2 linked regions of the Nothobranchius furzeri genome follow. The protein of the gene in region 1 purifies or fractionates together with the protein of each later gene. This does not show direct contact. Links are inferred from orthologs where the notes say so. Each region holds a gene or a part of one and is shown on either strand. Other genes may lie near its edges.

Region 1 (8,081 bases):
AGAATACTCACATCTCCCTTCATCATGCGAACTTTAGCTAGCCACCAACCACAAGGCTCCTGTTCATTGGCTCTGGAGAATATCTGCCATGAGGTGAAATAAATTAAAGAGTAAGACTCAGACAAGATAAAAGAATAAAAGGTTTAACGTAGCAAGTGTCTACCCCACCTCCACCTCCTCGCCCTCTCCGATCTCCTTCTTGGCATCAGCAGGCGGTGGCAATCTGACATCACTGAAGGGCACCTGGCGTTCTGGCTGCCAACTAAAATACAAACCTCTAATGTCACAACTTGACTCTCTCACAAATCTTAACTTGATGTTTTACAAAAACACAAGAAGGGTACAAGAAACGGTGGCTTACTTGTTCTCAAAGGCAATGGTGAGAGAGTCACCGTGGACATCTTTGACAAAGCCCTGCAGGACATAGACAAGCGGGTGAGTGACGAGTGTGCCACTTCTTCCTTTAAAGTTCCTTTGAAGTTTTCTAACTGAAAACCCAGTGACCCCCAAACCCCCACCCTTTATTCCGTCTCTGTTTTATTAAACATTTACAGTAGAGCCATAGATATAAATACATAGATTGGGCTATGTATAGATGGGGGGGGGCAAGTTTGGCTGGAGATCACACTTGTTTTAGTGCTCTAGTTACAGACATCGTATCTGTAGACACGACGTAGACTGGCACTGCCTAGTGGAGCTGCTGTAACAGCAGGTCCTCATCTTGGATGGGTCTCCATCCACCCCCTGTGCATTTATTTCTACTGAGGAAGGTGCTTACCCGACTAAAACACATTTTATTATGCTTTTCACAAAAACAGACATATGGTACGTAGGGTTGTCACGGTAACCGGAATAGCGGTAAACCCCGGTAAAAAAAAGTTGACAATAATAATAACCGTCTTGTTTAAAAAAAAACATATATTATCTCGGTGGGTTACCGTGGCTGCGGTGTAGCGCGGTGACCCTTACCAGCCACCGTATCATCTGCTGAAGTTGCCGGCGGCACATGCTCGCTTTGTTGTTTACAACCAAAACTTTCTTGAAGCTAAAGCTGAAATAATGACCAGAGGAGGAGACGGCAGCACTCAGGACATTTTTTATCCCTCAAGGAAGACAAAGTGGGAAGTACGGGCATCTTTTGGATATTTGAAGAATGCCGAGGGACAGTTTATAGAAGATGCCACGGCTATCCTGTTTGCAGCACGTGCAGAAAAAGTGTCTGTGAAAGGCAGCAACGCCTCAAATCTCATGACACATCTGCGTGACCATCACCCACAACTCTACAGTCAACGCAAGGCAAGCTAACGTTAGCGTTTTAGCTAAAATGCGTGATCCGAGGATTTGGGTTGAGGGAGAATGCAACGAGTCGCTATATAAAGCAGCCGCAGCGCCGCTACCTGCATATAAACCGTGTCGCAGACACCCCCATGTTGAAATGACGCTATGCATTACGGGGCTCCCAGGGGCAGATAAGAGTTGGTCTCTCTCTGAGAATAATTATGAATTTATGACATTTTCCCAAATCTGCAAAGCTCACTGGAAGAACACAAACTGAGGACAATATTTTCCTGATATATGGTTTATTACTCAAATAAGGGTAAAAAAGTATCTGATTAGAAAGCTACTTGAGTACTGAGTATCATCTGATCTAATATTTTTAAAATGATGACATCAATTAGACAAAAGATAAGAAGTTATGGGCAAATATTGGTATTTTAAAGACTAAAGGGAAAAAATGTAAACAAATAAACAACATAATTACAAAATAACACATTTTAGGCAAAATTTAGACACAAACTGAGGACAATATTTCCTGACATACAGGGTTTATTTAATTGTGTGAAAATGTAGCACGTTTAAAAAAAATACCGCGATACCCCCCGCACCGTGAGAACAAACATCCCAGCTCCAAGGCCGATCTTTATCCGCGTACGTCACACGTCACGTGATCAGGAAGCAGAAAATCCATGTGTGAGGAGATCGTTTTGGGCCGCTGCTGTAAAAAAGTGAGGCACGAACCGGAAAAGCTTCTGCCGATCACAATTCGACAACCGATTATGAAAGAACGGATAACGCTGGAAACACGCGGATTCTTCCTGATGTAAGAGGTGAGTCTCCTCTTTGTTTTGGTTGTTTTGGCGTCGACATCCGGAACTTTCCGGAACTGCACTACTCTGGGTGGCCGTATGTTGGAGTAGCTCTGTTGATTATATGCAAGTTTTGCCTTTTCTTGGACATTTTTTCTTCTAGTTTCTCAAGAAAAACTGTATTTTTGGACACTTTGCTTTTCTGTTTCTGGTGCTGTGAAGCTTGGGGGATTTTTACTGCTATTTTTTAGCTTTTTTCACTTTTTGAGCAGTTGTTATGATGCGTAACCATGGCAACAGTCTGGTTTACAATCGGTAGCAGCTGATTAACATTGGAAAGGCTGAAATAATACCTCAACTGAAGCCACAAATCCCAAATGAGCTAAAACGCAAGAAGTATGGGTGCAGAGCGGGAGCAAAACGGAGACAGAGAAAGAGGAAATTCAAACCATCTCTTCCATCAATCATAATGGGCAACATGAGATCACTGGCCAACAAGATGGAGGAACTCCAAGCCCTTTCAAGGACTCAGCCAGAGTTTCGACAGTTTCAGAACCGCTGGAGGAGATAATGCAAAGAAGGATTCTCCAGATAATCAAGAAGATTATGGACAACCCTGAGCATTCTCTTCACAAGACTGTCCGACAACGGAAGAGCGTCTTCAGTCAGAGGCTTCTTCAGTTTCGCTGCAACACTGACCGCTACTGGAGATCCTTCCTGCCAACAGCCATTGTAATATACAATAACTCTTTGATGACTTGATTATTATTATTATTCTGAGCTACTACAGCAATCAATTTCCCTCTGGGATTAATAAAGTATTTTTGAATTGAATTGAATCATCCTAGAGCACAACATTCTGCACTTGTCATTCTTTTAAATTTCTAGAGACCACTTTATCAATGTGTCATCATTACTGGTATTACAATTTCTTCACACTGTGTATTTATTTCAAGCTCAATAAATATATTTGAGAGTAAATGAAGAACGGTTCTAAATCAAGTGGGATTAAAGGGCAGACTGGTTCTTGTGCCAAGTTTAATAAACATTTTCTAATTTAAATTCATCTTCATTAGATTGAATTTCAAAATGAGCTTTTGTTTTGTATTTAAAGAGCAAGTCAACCCCTACCAGAGTCTAACTCCACTCCCGCTTCATGTTTGAAAAATGCAACACATGCTGTTGCCTGGCAGACCGAGAGGGCGGAGCCGCTAACAAATACACACACACTCAGGCTCACGACAGCATTGTGACATCATAATGTACCAGTTTACATCATAGCATACTTCTTAGCCAATAGCGGTGGCAGATTTAAATTAAAATACAGTGCAGAGTTTTTACCTGACAATGGCACAACACTGCCAGTTTGAGGCAGAATATTTAAATTTTAACTAAGATGCACTGAAGTGCCAAATTATTGATGACACGTGTCTGCAGCACGATTAGACACTCGTTTATTTAGTTTATCAGCAAAAAAAAGTTTATTTGGGGGTGACTTGCTCTTTAAAGAGCAAGTCACCCCCTACCAGAGTATTACTCCACTCCCACTTCATGTTTGAAAAATGCAGCAAATGCTCTTGCCAAGCAGACCGAGAGGGCGGAGCTGCTAACAAATACACACACACACACACAGGCTCAAAACGACATTAGGACATCATATCGTACCAGCTAACATTCTAGGGTACCTCTTAGCCAATAGCGATGGCAGATTTAAATTCAACTGCAGTGCAGTGTTAACCTGACAATGGCACAATGGACAGTTTTAGGCAGAACATTTACATTTTAACTAAAATGCACTAAAGTGCTAAACTATTGACTACACGTGTCCGCAGCACGATTAGACAAGCATTTATATAGTTTATCAGAAAAAAAAAAGTTCATTTAGGGGTGACTTGATCTTTACTGCATCTGAATGGCCCCTCAAGTAATCTATATAGTATCAAATCTATACCATGTGGAGCAGAACAGATGTGATTTGGGAGATTGTTTGCAGTAAATCATCAGATCACAACAATGCTGACTGGACTTTCATCTTAAATCAGCAGTCGTGGGGATGAAACCCAAGAATTCTGACATTTATATTCGAAAGTATATTTAATCTCTTTTGAGGAACAGCCTGCGGGTCTTTTATAAAAGTCATGTGACAATCTTGTCTGAAACTGTGTGGCAGGGACTTTACAGAGAAAAGAACGTCACACCTTCACGTAACTCACGAGTTTAAAAGATGCAGTGTAACTGGGAATGGCTGAGGTAAACATATGAGCAAAAAGGAACAGTGATCTCGGTATTATAATGAGCTGCATCACCGGGGGCATGGGGATGAAACGAAACCGAGAGAAGTGAAAGAGAAAATACAAAAGTATCACTTTAGGGCCGAGGTCTAGAAATAGCTTACAAGTGTACAATATCACCGAGGCTCTGCTGACATGCCAACTGCTCTGGACTGACAGGGAACAGCTGGCACACATAGCGAAGATGGCCTGAACATGATCAAGTATCAAATAATAGACGGTGACAGGAAGATATGGTAGTCTGTGAAGAGCGTTGCAGGCGTGGTGCTTTCTGAACGCCGTTAGTAAAAAATAAAAATAAATAAAAAATACCCTCCAAACCAATTATGTGTTGTTATTCTAAAACGAATAAAACGTCAACCCCGACAAGGAATACATGTTTAACGGATAGCTTTATTCAACTATTAGACGTCAACAGTTTGCGAGTTAGCTAACTTTTAGCTAATGACCGTTACAGTCACGGGAATGCAAAAAAACAGCTTTCACGTGTTTAATATCTGAGGTATAACGGAAAGGACAGTGATTCCTCTCATTTGTGTTGGGCAAAAGTCGATAAAACAAAACACTTGGCAAAAACAAGCGACCGACGTTAGCTTAGCCTGCTAATTTTGGCTAGCTGCACTTTAACAACAAACAGTTCGAGGACTCAAAGACACTCGGAACACGTAGTTACGGTCCTCGAAACTTCAGCTAACAGTCTGTATTGGGTAACGAAGTGCTACTTTTACAGCTGTGATGATATGCCGGTATTTACCTTATAATAAGCGCCGTTGGAGCCACGGACCTCCACCGCCAGTTCTTCCATATTGGACACGCAAAGGATGCCGGGACGACAGGTGTTCATTAGGGCTCCGATAGAGAGGCATGTTGTGGCGTTAGAAACTGTATTTTTGTGGTTTACATTTAAAATTATGATTGTTATTTAATGCTTTATGTTTGTGGGTTTCCTTTTAAGTTTCATATTTAATGCCCCACATCACTGGGGATATTTAACACGTTGTTTTATGAAGATGTTCAAAAGCATCATTCTGTAAAATGTAATGAGAATAATGTAAGAAGAGTCATTAAAATGAGAACATATTTCACATTTAATGATACACATGTCAGCTGAAATGCCACATTCAGACTAAGTTCACTACAAACAAACAACAGACGTGTGTCTGGCTTAAGATCACACATGGAATGAGTAGAAATCTTCATTGCTTCCAGGTATCACATCCAGAACATTCCGTTGAAAATATTCTCTCATAGAAGCTTAGACCTTCATGAAATAGTAACTCCAAAGTGAAGGCTTCTCTGGTCTGCTTGGTAACGAAATCATAACTAGGTTGTCATGAGTCGGGGTGAGTACTCGTCTCACACATTCCACCTTTGAGTTGTGTTTCAGGAGAGGGAGGCTTCCAGCTGCGCCAGGTTAGCAATCGGGGGGACCGGCTACTTAAGGAGTTGGAGAACACACCTCGACGCGGGATGATTACTACAGCTCGGTAGTTTCCAGCTTTCTAGTGTTGCAGTGATTTTGTGCCTCTTGTGTTTTTGGCTTATTGATCTATGTGGATTTTTTTGTGCTCACGCCTTCTTCAGGATTTTTGGAACATCTCTGGAGTAGAGACTTCTCAGGATTCAGTGACTCATCAGGATACTCACCTTTGCCACGTAACCCTTCAGGATGCAGCTCTCTGCTGTTCTCCATTCCTCCATCCAATCCGCTCACCTGCTCTCTCCACGCTCCCTCTCCTGGACCTCCTCACCCGGACACACCCCGACTCTGGACCTGCCCTTCCCAATACCTACACCTCCCAAATTCCCTATGCTGCGCTCCGTTTCCCGACCTCCACTGGAATTCCCAGTGCACCTTATGTTCTCGTTCTAAAATAAACATTCTTTTTTTTTTTCATTAAATCAGTGAGTTTATTGTGATTGCATGTCCTGGGTTAAACGCCTTCCCCAGACCATGTCAGAATCATCCCGCCAACCCGCTAACCCTGCAGACACAACTCTCACCGATCATCTCCATAGGGTGTCCCAACAGGAGCAGACGATGCCGCTGCAAATGAAGCAGCTTAACGCAGCCCAAAGTCGTTGCCAGCAGCTGGAGGCCCTGGTGCGGCAGATCCACAACCGAGTGTCTCAGCCGCAGACTCCTAGAACGGAACCTCAGGCGGCCGCTCCAGTTGCCTCCGGACCGGAAGTTCCAGTTCCCACAGAGATCACCCACTTCCATCCAGCCGCTTCTCCTCCATCCCAGACATTCGGCGGTGAGTTCAAGGACTGCCATAGCTTCCTCCTTCAGTGTCGTCTCGCATTTGAACGCTCACCAGGAGCTTTTTCCACAGACTCAATTAAAATGTCATATATTGTTGGACTACGTCATGGACGAGCCCTACGGTGGGCTGAAGCTAAGAGCCATTGTGCCACTTTTCTATTAGGACCTCATGATGAGTTTTTAACGGACTTCACACAGACTTTTGGACAGACCGAATTTGTTTTGGATATTAGGAAGCGACTCTGGACATTGTCACAGGGTCGACGATCAGTGGCGGACATGTCTGTGGAGTTCAGGACTTTGGCAGCAAGGACTTCATGGAACGAAGAAGCACTAATTGCTGCGTTCACAGAGGCTCTCAGTGATCGAGTCCAGGACCAGTTGGCGTTGTGCCAGGAACCTCAGTCTCTGGAGGGACTCATTCGCCTTGCCATCTCCATTGACAAACGTCACCAGGAGCTACAGCGCCCGGTCACCAGTGCTCGTCCAGCTCCCACTCCTGACCGTAACCAGGGGACTGGATATCGCTCCTCTTCTGAGACTACCACAACTGATGAACCCATGCAGATGGGTTGGACTCGTCTTTCCCCAGAAGAGCGGGAACATCGAATAAGGTCAGGTCTATGTTTGTATTGCGGGGGGCCCGGACACTTCGCCAGAGTCTGCCCAGCACTGGCAAAAGGCAGAGCCCACCAGTAAAACCGGGACTACTGGTGGGCAGAAACTCCAGCTCCCGTTGTTCTATCCAGTGTACTGTGTTTTTAATTCTGAACAGTTTCAGCTAGAGGCATTGGTGGACTCTGGTTGTGAGCAGTCTATGTTGGATCCTGGCTAGGTAGAGAGGTGGAATACCCCTACCACTCGTTTGTCGTCTCCTCTCCCTGTGTCATCACTGGATGACAGGGCTTTATCCACCATCACTCACCAGACCATTCCCCTACAGTTAAGAGTGTCAGGTAACCACACAGAACGTCTGGCATTTTTTGTATTTCCCTCTCCCCAGTCCCCGTTCGTCCTGGGCCACTCTTGGTTGAAACGCTACAACCCCCAGCTGAACTGGAAAACCAACCGGATAGAAGGATGGAGTCCAGAGTGTTCTCAAGTTTGCCTTCGCTCAGCCTCACCAACCTTCCACAGCCCCACAATCCCTTCTGCAGAAGAGATTGATCTCTCCAAAGTACCTCTGGTCTACCATGACCTCAGACAGGTATTCAACAAAGACCGTGCTTCTTCTCTTCCCCCACACAGACCTTTTGACTGCAGCATTGAGTTGCTGCCTGGAGCTCCACTTGCCTCCAGTTGCCTATATCACCTTTCCAAGCCTGAGAGGGAGAGTATGGAGAGTTACATCCAGGAGTCTCTGGCAGCCGGTCTTATCAGGCCCTCCACCTCACCTCTGGGAGCAGGGTTTTTCTTTGTTCCAAAAAAGGAGGGAAT
Region 2 (8,158 bases), on another chromosome or scaffold:
GTTAGCTTTGAATGGGTGACGATAGGGCCAAATGCATGCTGTTCTGCATTTAGACTGCTACAGAAAATGCTGTTTAGTTTATTTTTTATTTATTGTTTTCAAAACTTTACAGTTTTATAATTTATCCATAATTTCTGAACTGTGATATTTAGTCATTGTTGCATTTTTTTTCCCACTGTTGCTGGTATATTAGAGTACACGAGCACAAACACACGCACACACACACACACACACATGCACGCACACACACAAAGGGGGAAAAAGTGGCACTTTTACCTAAGCAAATCTGACTAGCCAATATTAACGTACAAAACAATCACATTAAACTGCATCTGTTGGTTTGACCCCCCCCCCCCCCCCCCCCCCCCCCCCGGCCCCCATACCTGATCTTGGACAGATGTTTATACTCTAATCCAACACAGGTGGTGTGCCCATCTGTCATCTGTAGGCGCAGCATTCGCGGTGCACCCTGGGACTCCTCGTGGTCTTTAGGAGCAGAGATGTTTCTCACCTTCTGCACCTGGAGGACGCATGGACCCTCCAACTGGAAGAGAACAAAGAAAATTGGTCTGAGAGGCAAATCTGCTGCAAAGCACTGAAGATAATAACAGATATGGAAATTAAATGGCTTTGAGACTTTTATTTTCAGCTTATAATAGAACTGGTTTGTTCATTCTTCCATTTGAATTTACATTGCTTTATTTTTATTTAAGAGCCTTTTAAGGAGAAGGGTCAATATTCAATGTTTTAAAAACTAAAACATTTTCTAAGTTTCACAAAAAAAAAAAAAAAAACTTAAACACAATATTGTTGGTGTGTCTCCGCCATCTAGTGGCTTCCCTGAGAACTGCACCGCAGCTACTCATTTACAAGCATTTTCCAAACACTTTCTGACATAAAACAAGGGCAGTAGTGCTTCACCACTTAGCAGGAAACCTGTGAATTTCTGTTCCACTTACTTTCTCAGTTCTTCCACTGTTGATATCAGAAGGTAGAAATTTTCTCCCAATAGGCCTAAGATCATTCTGCAAGAAACACACATCATCGTAACAAAAACAGTTATTACACAAGTCATAGTAAGAGTAAAGCAGGAAAAAGGCTGATTATGAAGCACTGAAAGTTTAATAATTAACACGGCCCTTTTTGGTGAGCATCTAATGACAATGATTTAACAGATTTAGTTACAGACCTGTGCATCATACTGAGGCATGTTCTGACATTGGTTACAATAAAAAGAAGGCTCCTTCTAGGTACAATTTATCAACAATTAATAATAGAAAGATGTCAGGAATTTGGTTTGTTTTCACATTTAAATAATTACTTAAAACTCTTTAATTGCATATTCCGGTAAAACCAACCCCCATTTTATGGCCCTCTAAGCTCTGCCCTGAAGTTAAAACATGCCGAATGAATCAGGTGCACTGTGATGTGTCCAAGTGCCGTCTCAGATCTTTTGGCAGTGCTCCAGGCCAACCTGAAAAGGTCAAGGCTTCTGCTGTGAATGCAGCTCCTGTGTTCTGTACTCATCTGATACTGTGGGTCAGATAAGCCGCCTTTGTAATTTTCCTTTTGTGAAGTATTTAAAAAACTTGAGATCCTATGAACAATGATAGTGTCCTTTTATGTATTTATGCAGCTGCTGTTTCGAGAACACACAGCTGTAATTTAACAATTGTGATGGTTGAATAATTTTATCCTTAAAAGTGTGGGACACTTTAATCAATACATTTACAGTGGTCTCTAGTAGGAATGAATGCCTTGCAAGTCGTACTCAGGGGAAGAAAAGCACAGATGCGCCTGTTTTGGGAACGAGCAGAATGCCACGTCAGAGGAGAGCTTAACAAGGCAGGATTTGGAGTCTTGCTTCCTGATATTTGGATATGTCACTTCTGACTGGCTAACAACAATGCAACTCTACCACCAACTCTGCTTGCTCTGCAACGTTGATGTTTGATCTCCACAAATAACTCAAGCCTGAAGGAGTTCTACTGTGTGGTGGATTTACTAATGTGGTTAGCTTCTACTAGCCGAGATGTTCTCTGCTGGATGCTAACACCAACAACAGTCTCCCCCATCACAAGTCAACATGGGTGAGTCCATGAATGTTAAGTGACAGTGTGATATAGACCTGTTAGGATTTTCAAATCCTAGAGTTTCACCATCTAATTTCTACCAGAAGATAATGCAGGAGACAGGTGTAGGAGACTATATACATGTTCAGCCTGCATGAACACCTCAACAGGGACTGCTTATAATCAGAAATAACAAGTAAAGAGTAGGGATGAGCAAGTACACCACTATCTGTATCTGTATCTGTTCAATCATCTAAATTATCTGTATTTGGAGTGGGCGTGGCCTAACCTGGAAGTGTGTGCAGTTTAACCGGGAGTAGGTGTGGTTTACATCAATACATTATTTTAAGTCTGAAACTGATATGGACTGATCAGAAGTTGCTATGTGTATTGTTTATATAAACACTATTTACAGAGCAGCCTCAGAATTGAGATTACATATTTTTGATCACAATAGTAAAGAAACTATTACAGAACAAGTTTTTCAATAAAATCAGAACATTATTTATGAGCATTAATTGAGAGAGAGAGAGAGAGAGAGAGAGAGAGAGAGAGAGAGAGAGAGAGAGAGAGAGAGAGAGAGAGAGAGAGAGAGAGAGAGAGAGAGAGAAAAATAAAACAAAAAAGCCCCGAGCAGAGCGGAGGCAGTGACCGACGCAGCACGAGCTGTTTTTCAGCTCTGTCTTGTCAAATGCACCATGTAAGTTACAAAAAAAAGTAACTTTAAATATTAAACTGAAAAAAGCGAGCTGAGGAAAACCTAGGGAGTACTGAAGAAATGTGAGCAACAGTGAAGCAAGCACAGAGAGATCTGTTACTGTCTGTGTGTGTGCGTGGATAAGCCGGACGCGGACTGAGCTCCCGACTGCAGAGTTTTGTGTGTAGGGAGGGGCGAGCGCTCTATGTGACTGGCCAATCACAGAGCGTGAAGGCAGTCAGATACCCAATGAGGATTTTCCTTCAGCACGATTACAGATATTTATGAGTTTTAGTCACTTCATGCTCGTATTCGTCAAAAATGCTTTATCCGCTCATCCCTAGTAGAGAGGGTTTATCAGTGTTCCACAACTTTAAAAGTTTCATTTTCATTCCAGATATTGTGTCAGGAAGGCATCAGACAAACAGACCAAAGAATGAATGAATGATGGAGAAATGCACCTGAAGCAACTGAAGATGATAGAATCAAGGCAGTTTTTCAAAAAATGACTTATAAATTCATGCTAAGCAAAAGATGACAGCAAACATGCTGACTCTTGGATAACTGATGCAAAAAAATGTGACCTTTTCCATTAACCTTTAAAATGCTTTTCACATCCATTTTCCTACCCAGACTACTGTCACACCACAAAAACACTAAGAGAATACAACTTACATTGAGTGCAATACGAATGATGTCAGTGTGTGTTATTTTCTCAGCCGATCCCTTCAGTTCTGCTATGCCGTCATCACTGAGGTACCTGTGAGATATGACACAAGGAGAAGAGGAAATAATGCTGAGTAAGGTGAGCCAGCAGGAGAGCAAGTCTTTCATGCAGAAGACATTGTTTAAAATATTCTGAAACCCAGTGGGGGTTAAATCTCCAGCTGTTATTGTAAATTATTGACTTTCCTCCTAAATTTACTGATACGAGCAAAAAAAGAGTGTTTGATATGATGCACTAATTAGGCAATCAGACTTGAAAAGTAAGAGAAAGTCAACTTTGCGTAGAGTTCAGTTGTGCAGCATCCTCTTATTTAGAAAAGTCTTACAATTTAATTTTACATGGTTACAACACTAAATGCAGCTTTATTTTGCTAAATTAAAAGACTTAAGAACTTTATAACGTTTCACAAAATAACTAAAGAGGGCAAAGTCTACAAGTTTCATAGATCCACTAAAGCATAAACAGATTTTTTTCTCTAGTGCATACATTTAATGTATCACTTTAATTACGTTAAAACTCAAATAAAAAAATAGTCAATACAATTAAAAGTCCTGCACAAAACGCTCAGGTAAAACAACATAAACAAAAGCACACTGCAGAGAACATAATGTAAACAAACACTCTGGTTCAATCTGATCAATATTTTGGAGTTAGAACTTTTTGTAGTCTAATATTGATTACATTTTGCATTATTATTATTATTATTATTATCAGCAACATTACAAAAGTAACACCGACTGTGAAATTAAGCGAAGCCAAACATTTCTGCAACTGGGAATTTTATTAGTGTTGTTTGTTGTAAAAGGTGTTAAATATGCACCTGCGTCTGAAATGGTTCAAAACACATTTGTCTCTCAGATGTACTCCCGCAGAATTTCACTACAACATGAAACTGATATATTCATGCTAAATGAATGCATTTCTGAGGGAAATAAATACATTTTGACCAACCACAACATATCAATTTAATAAAACTGTAATTGCCTCGTTGGATTGTTGAAATTTCTAAAAGAATAACCAGAAATTAAAGTCAGCAGCACTGTTAGTCGTCGTTTCAAAAGCACTTGGAAAACGAGCTGTTTGTTCAGGTTTTGAACAAGTGCCATCGGGTATCAGTGACCGAACCTGCACGCTATTACGGATTCTTGTCTGACGCACGAAGTAACGTCTGTCTGCTTTCAAATGCTACGTCTGCTAAGTTAAACCAGCTAGCAGACGTGTGGTTTCTGGTAGTCGTGTAGCTTTCCAACTATGTTGCTACAAGTCGAGCAGTTCCGAGTGTTGCTGTTTATTCTCAAGTATTAAAAAGGGCAACGTGACGACTAATTATTTTATTCAACAGTTAACTGACAGCTCAGACGGCTAGCAGCACCATTGAGCTACCATGCTACCTACCAGCCCTCTTTGATCAGGGACTCTGCTAGATCGGTCATTTTCGTCCAGTCGAAGATGTGTGAATAAACACAATCGTCGGTTTATAAGGGGACCACCTCAAGAACGATTATCTGATGCTACAATGCATATTATCCTGCAAACAAAGCTCGTTAATGGGAACTCTGAATGACCCAACCGTAATTACGTCACCAACTGAGACGCATTGTACGAGTACGGCGTGCCGAGAAGGTCAAAATACATTTAATTTCCACACAATCGATTTTACTGTAATTCTAATGGTTAAAAGTGCTTTATAATCAACAAAAATACAAACACATCCATAAAGACAATTATTTTAAAAGTAACAATTGACAAATATTTTTTATTTCCATCCTGACGCGTTGGTACAGCATCCATATGAAATGACATATGAACTCAATTAAAAAGATTAAAATCCTACATAATGTATCTATCTATCTATCATCTATCTATCTATCTATCTATCTATCTATCTATCTATCTATCTATCTATCTATCTATCTATCTATCTATCTATCTATCTATCATCTATCTATCTATCTATCTATCTATCTATCTATCTATCTATCTATCTATCTATCGATCGATCGATCGATCGATAGGGCAACTGGACTTTCTCTAATATATATATATATATTGCAAAAGTATGCAGCCCTGAAAGAGGCTTTGCAGTAATAGTAATGACTATAGTAACTTAAGGGAAATGTATTTATAATTATTGCTTGACTGAAGTTTATTTTTATAAGCAGTTGAAATAGGCTGCATATTGCAGTTTTCTCCATTGGTTTGGCTCATTTCTTGAAACAAAAATTTCATTCTCAAACCTCTAAAATCATTTGGCAAAACACTCTTACAGTTTAGCACAACACCTGCAAAAGCTCATATCTCTTTCAAAACTGTTCACTCAGGCTTCAATCTAAACCCCTTTCTCATTTAACCCTCCCACTGTATTTATGGGTGACCCTGCGAGGAAAGTTGACCATAGAGCAGGATTGATGGTTTATCCCTTGAGGTCCATGTGGCAGGGGTGAGGTGGTGCTCACTCCTCACCCCTGCCACATGGACCCAAGGGATAAACCATCAACCCTGCCCAATGGTTAACTTTCCTCGCGGGGTCACACCCATTAGGACAGTGGGAGGGTTAAACAGTGTCTCCAAAATGGCAAAGATCCCTCTCAATAGCTTTGGCTCATTTCTCGACACAAATCGGACATTCTCATCCTTCTTGGTGCTTTTGTCAAAATAAACATGGATAGTTGATCATAACAGCGTGGTTTACCTGCAAAAGCTCATATCTCCCCTAAAACAGCTCACTCGTGTGTCAAAACTACATTTCTTTCTAATCTGAATAGTCAGTGTCCCCAAAATGCCATTCTGTTGTGAACATTTGCCAAAAGGTTTGGAGGTTTGTCCATGTTATTTTGAGAATGTAATTTCTGTTTCAAGAAATGAGCCAAACCAGTGGAGAAAAACTGTAATGTAAAAGTGGTGACTGAAGGAAGACACTGACAATCTTTATTAAAAATAAATTAAAACGCACATCAAACAGAGTCTGTGTCAAAGTTAATTGTTGCACTTAGAGATGTGATTTGATTGACATTTCATTTGTGTCTTTTCTCTTTCAACTGAGAGGAGCTCAACAGCCTAACAGACAGTGGAACAGATGAGGTCTGAGTCATTCTGTTGGATGTTGCTGCAGGAGGCAGTTACTGACCATTTTTGTCTGCCTGATGATAGTGTTGAGCAGAAGATGCTGGGTGCGGCCCATTACAGCCACCAGTTTCTTCATGCTTCTCTCCTCTCCGTGTCCACCACCAAACCAGCTTTTCTCATCAGTCTGTCCAGTGTTGCAAAGAATCCACAGTCGTTTTACTCAGATCCACTTATACTGAAATCCAAAATGATCTCCATGCCAGAATGTAGACATATCCACAGTACAGTTTAACATGGCACCTGTCATAGACAATTACTGTTGCCAAACAGCTTGGCATATTAAAATACTGTAGCTACAAATAAAAGAAGCACAGCACTAAATGAGAAGTCCATAGGATGCATAACTATTTATAATATTAGTGATCACCAACTAGAATATTTGTTTAAAAATAAACATTTTGTGCTTAAATCAGGGGCCCTAATTAAAATTTCATGCTGCACAAATATTGTTGAGATATTTAAAGCAGAACAAGAGAAACAAGAGAATCATTAGTAGCAAACCTTTCTTCTCCTTCATTTAGCATCAGAAAGTTTATTATTTGTGTCATAAACTTCATGTCGCATTTCCACAGAGGAGTTTCAGCTGCAGAATAATAACAGGAAAGGAATTGGACTAAATATTTGTTCAATAATCATGATAAATGAGAAATGACATAAACTTGTCTAGTACCTTTCAGAGTCAGATGACTCCAAAGTGCTTTACACTACAGTGCATCATTCATCCATTCACACACTGGCAGGGATGAGCTACGATGTAGCCACAGCTGCCCTGGGGCTCACTGATGGAGGTGAGGCTGCCAAGCACAGGCACCACTGGTCCCTCAGACCACCAGCAGGCGAGGTGGGTTAGGTGTCTTGCCCAAGGACACAACAGCAGAATTCTCCGTCCGAAGCTGAGCCCAGGGACCCAGACCCCACCAGGCAGCCACCGGGATTGGTCAGGCAGATGCCAAAAATCTTAAACTCCCTGACCCGGGAGCCACGACCCAGGCAGACCAAGGCACCGCACTCCACACCAGGTGTGGCAGGGAGAGGGGAGACAAAGATCTTCCGACAACCTTCCGATTACTGAACAACCCGTTCAACTTGTTGAGCTACTGCTGCCCCATGTCCTATTGTGTTAACTAGGTTTATATTGATGATCTGTAATTGATTTTGCTGTGTTTTATTTTCTAATTTGTATTGTTGTGCACCTAAATACATGTTCACTAGAACTCATAGTCCTGGTATTAATTCCACAGCCCCACCAGCAAACCTCTAATATTTATGACTGTGTCATAGTGCTTATAATTAATTCAGTGGGACTTCCAGCAGCAACAGGCATGAAAGTGAGATTGATTGATTGATTGACTGATTGATTGATTGATTGATTGATTGAGTGATTGATTGATTGATTGATTGATTGATTGATTGATTGATTGATTGATTGATTGATTGATTGATTGATTGATTGGAAGCGAGACAATAAATGTATTTTTAAAAGTTGCAAAGTTAAAAGAAGTATTTCAATTCAATTTATTTATGTAGTGCAAAATC

Evidence for each region. Proteins that work in one complex are often made in the same cells at the same time.
Region 2: the proteins of fxr1 (region 1) and tdrd3 purify together in Homo sapiens (affinity purification with mass spectrometry; 3 studies listed by BioGRID and IntAct, with this or other methods). This does not show direct contact. The link is inferred for Nothobranchius furzeri from reciprocal best matches to the Homo sapiens genes FXR1 and TDRD3.

Annotation. Positions count from the first base shown.
Region 1 is NC_091748.1:72,995,331-73,003,411, forward strand, and holds the start of fxr1 (RNA-binding protein FXR1), read right to left. Parts: upstream 5,249-8,081; 5' UTR 5,223-5,248; coding exon 5,133-5,222; intron 415-5,132; coding exon 362-414; intron 263-361; coding exon 169-262; intron 84-168; coding exon 12-83; intron 1-11. UniProt on the Homo sapiens protein: mRNA-binding protein that acts as a regulator of mRNAs translation and/or stability, and which is required for various processes, such as neurogenesis, muscle development and spermatogenesis.
Region 2 is NC_091749.1:38,763,701-38,771,858, reverse strand, and holds the start of tdrd3 (tudor domain-containing protein 3), read right to left. Parts: upstream 5,068-8,158; 5' UTR 4,930-5,067; coding exon 4,892-4,929; intron 3,530-4,891; coding exon 3,445-3,529; intron 1,026-3,444; coding exon 960-1,025; intron 545-959; coding exon 384-544; intron 1-383. UniProt on the Homo sapiens protein: Scaffolding protein that specifically recognizes and binds dimethylarginine-containing proteins. Plays a role in the regulation of translation of target mRNAs by binding Arg/Gly-rich motifs (GAR) in dimethylarginine-containing proteins.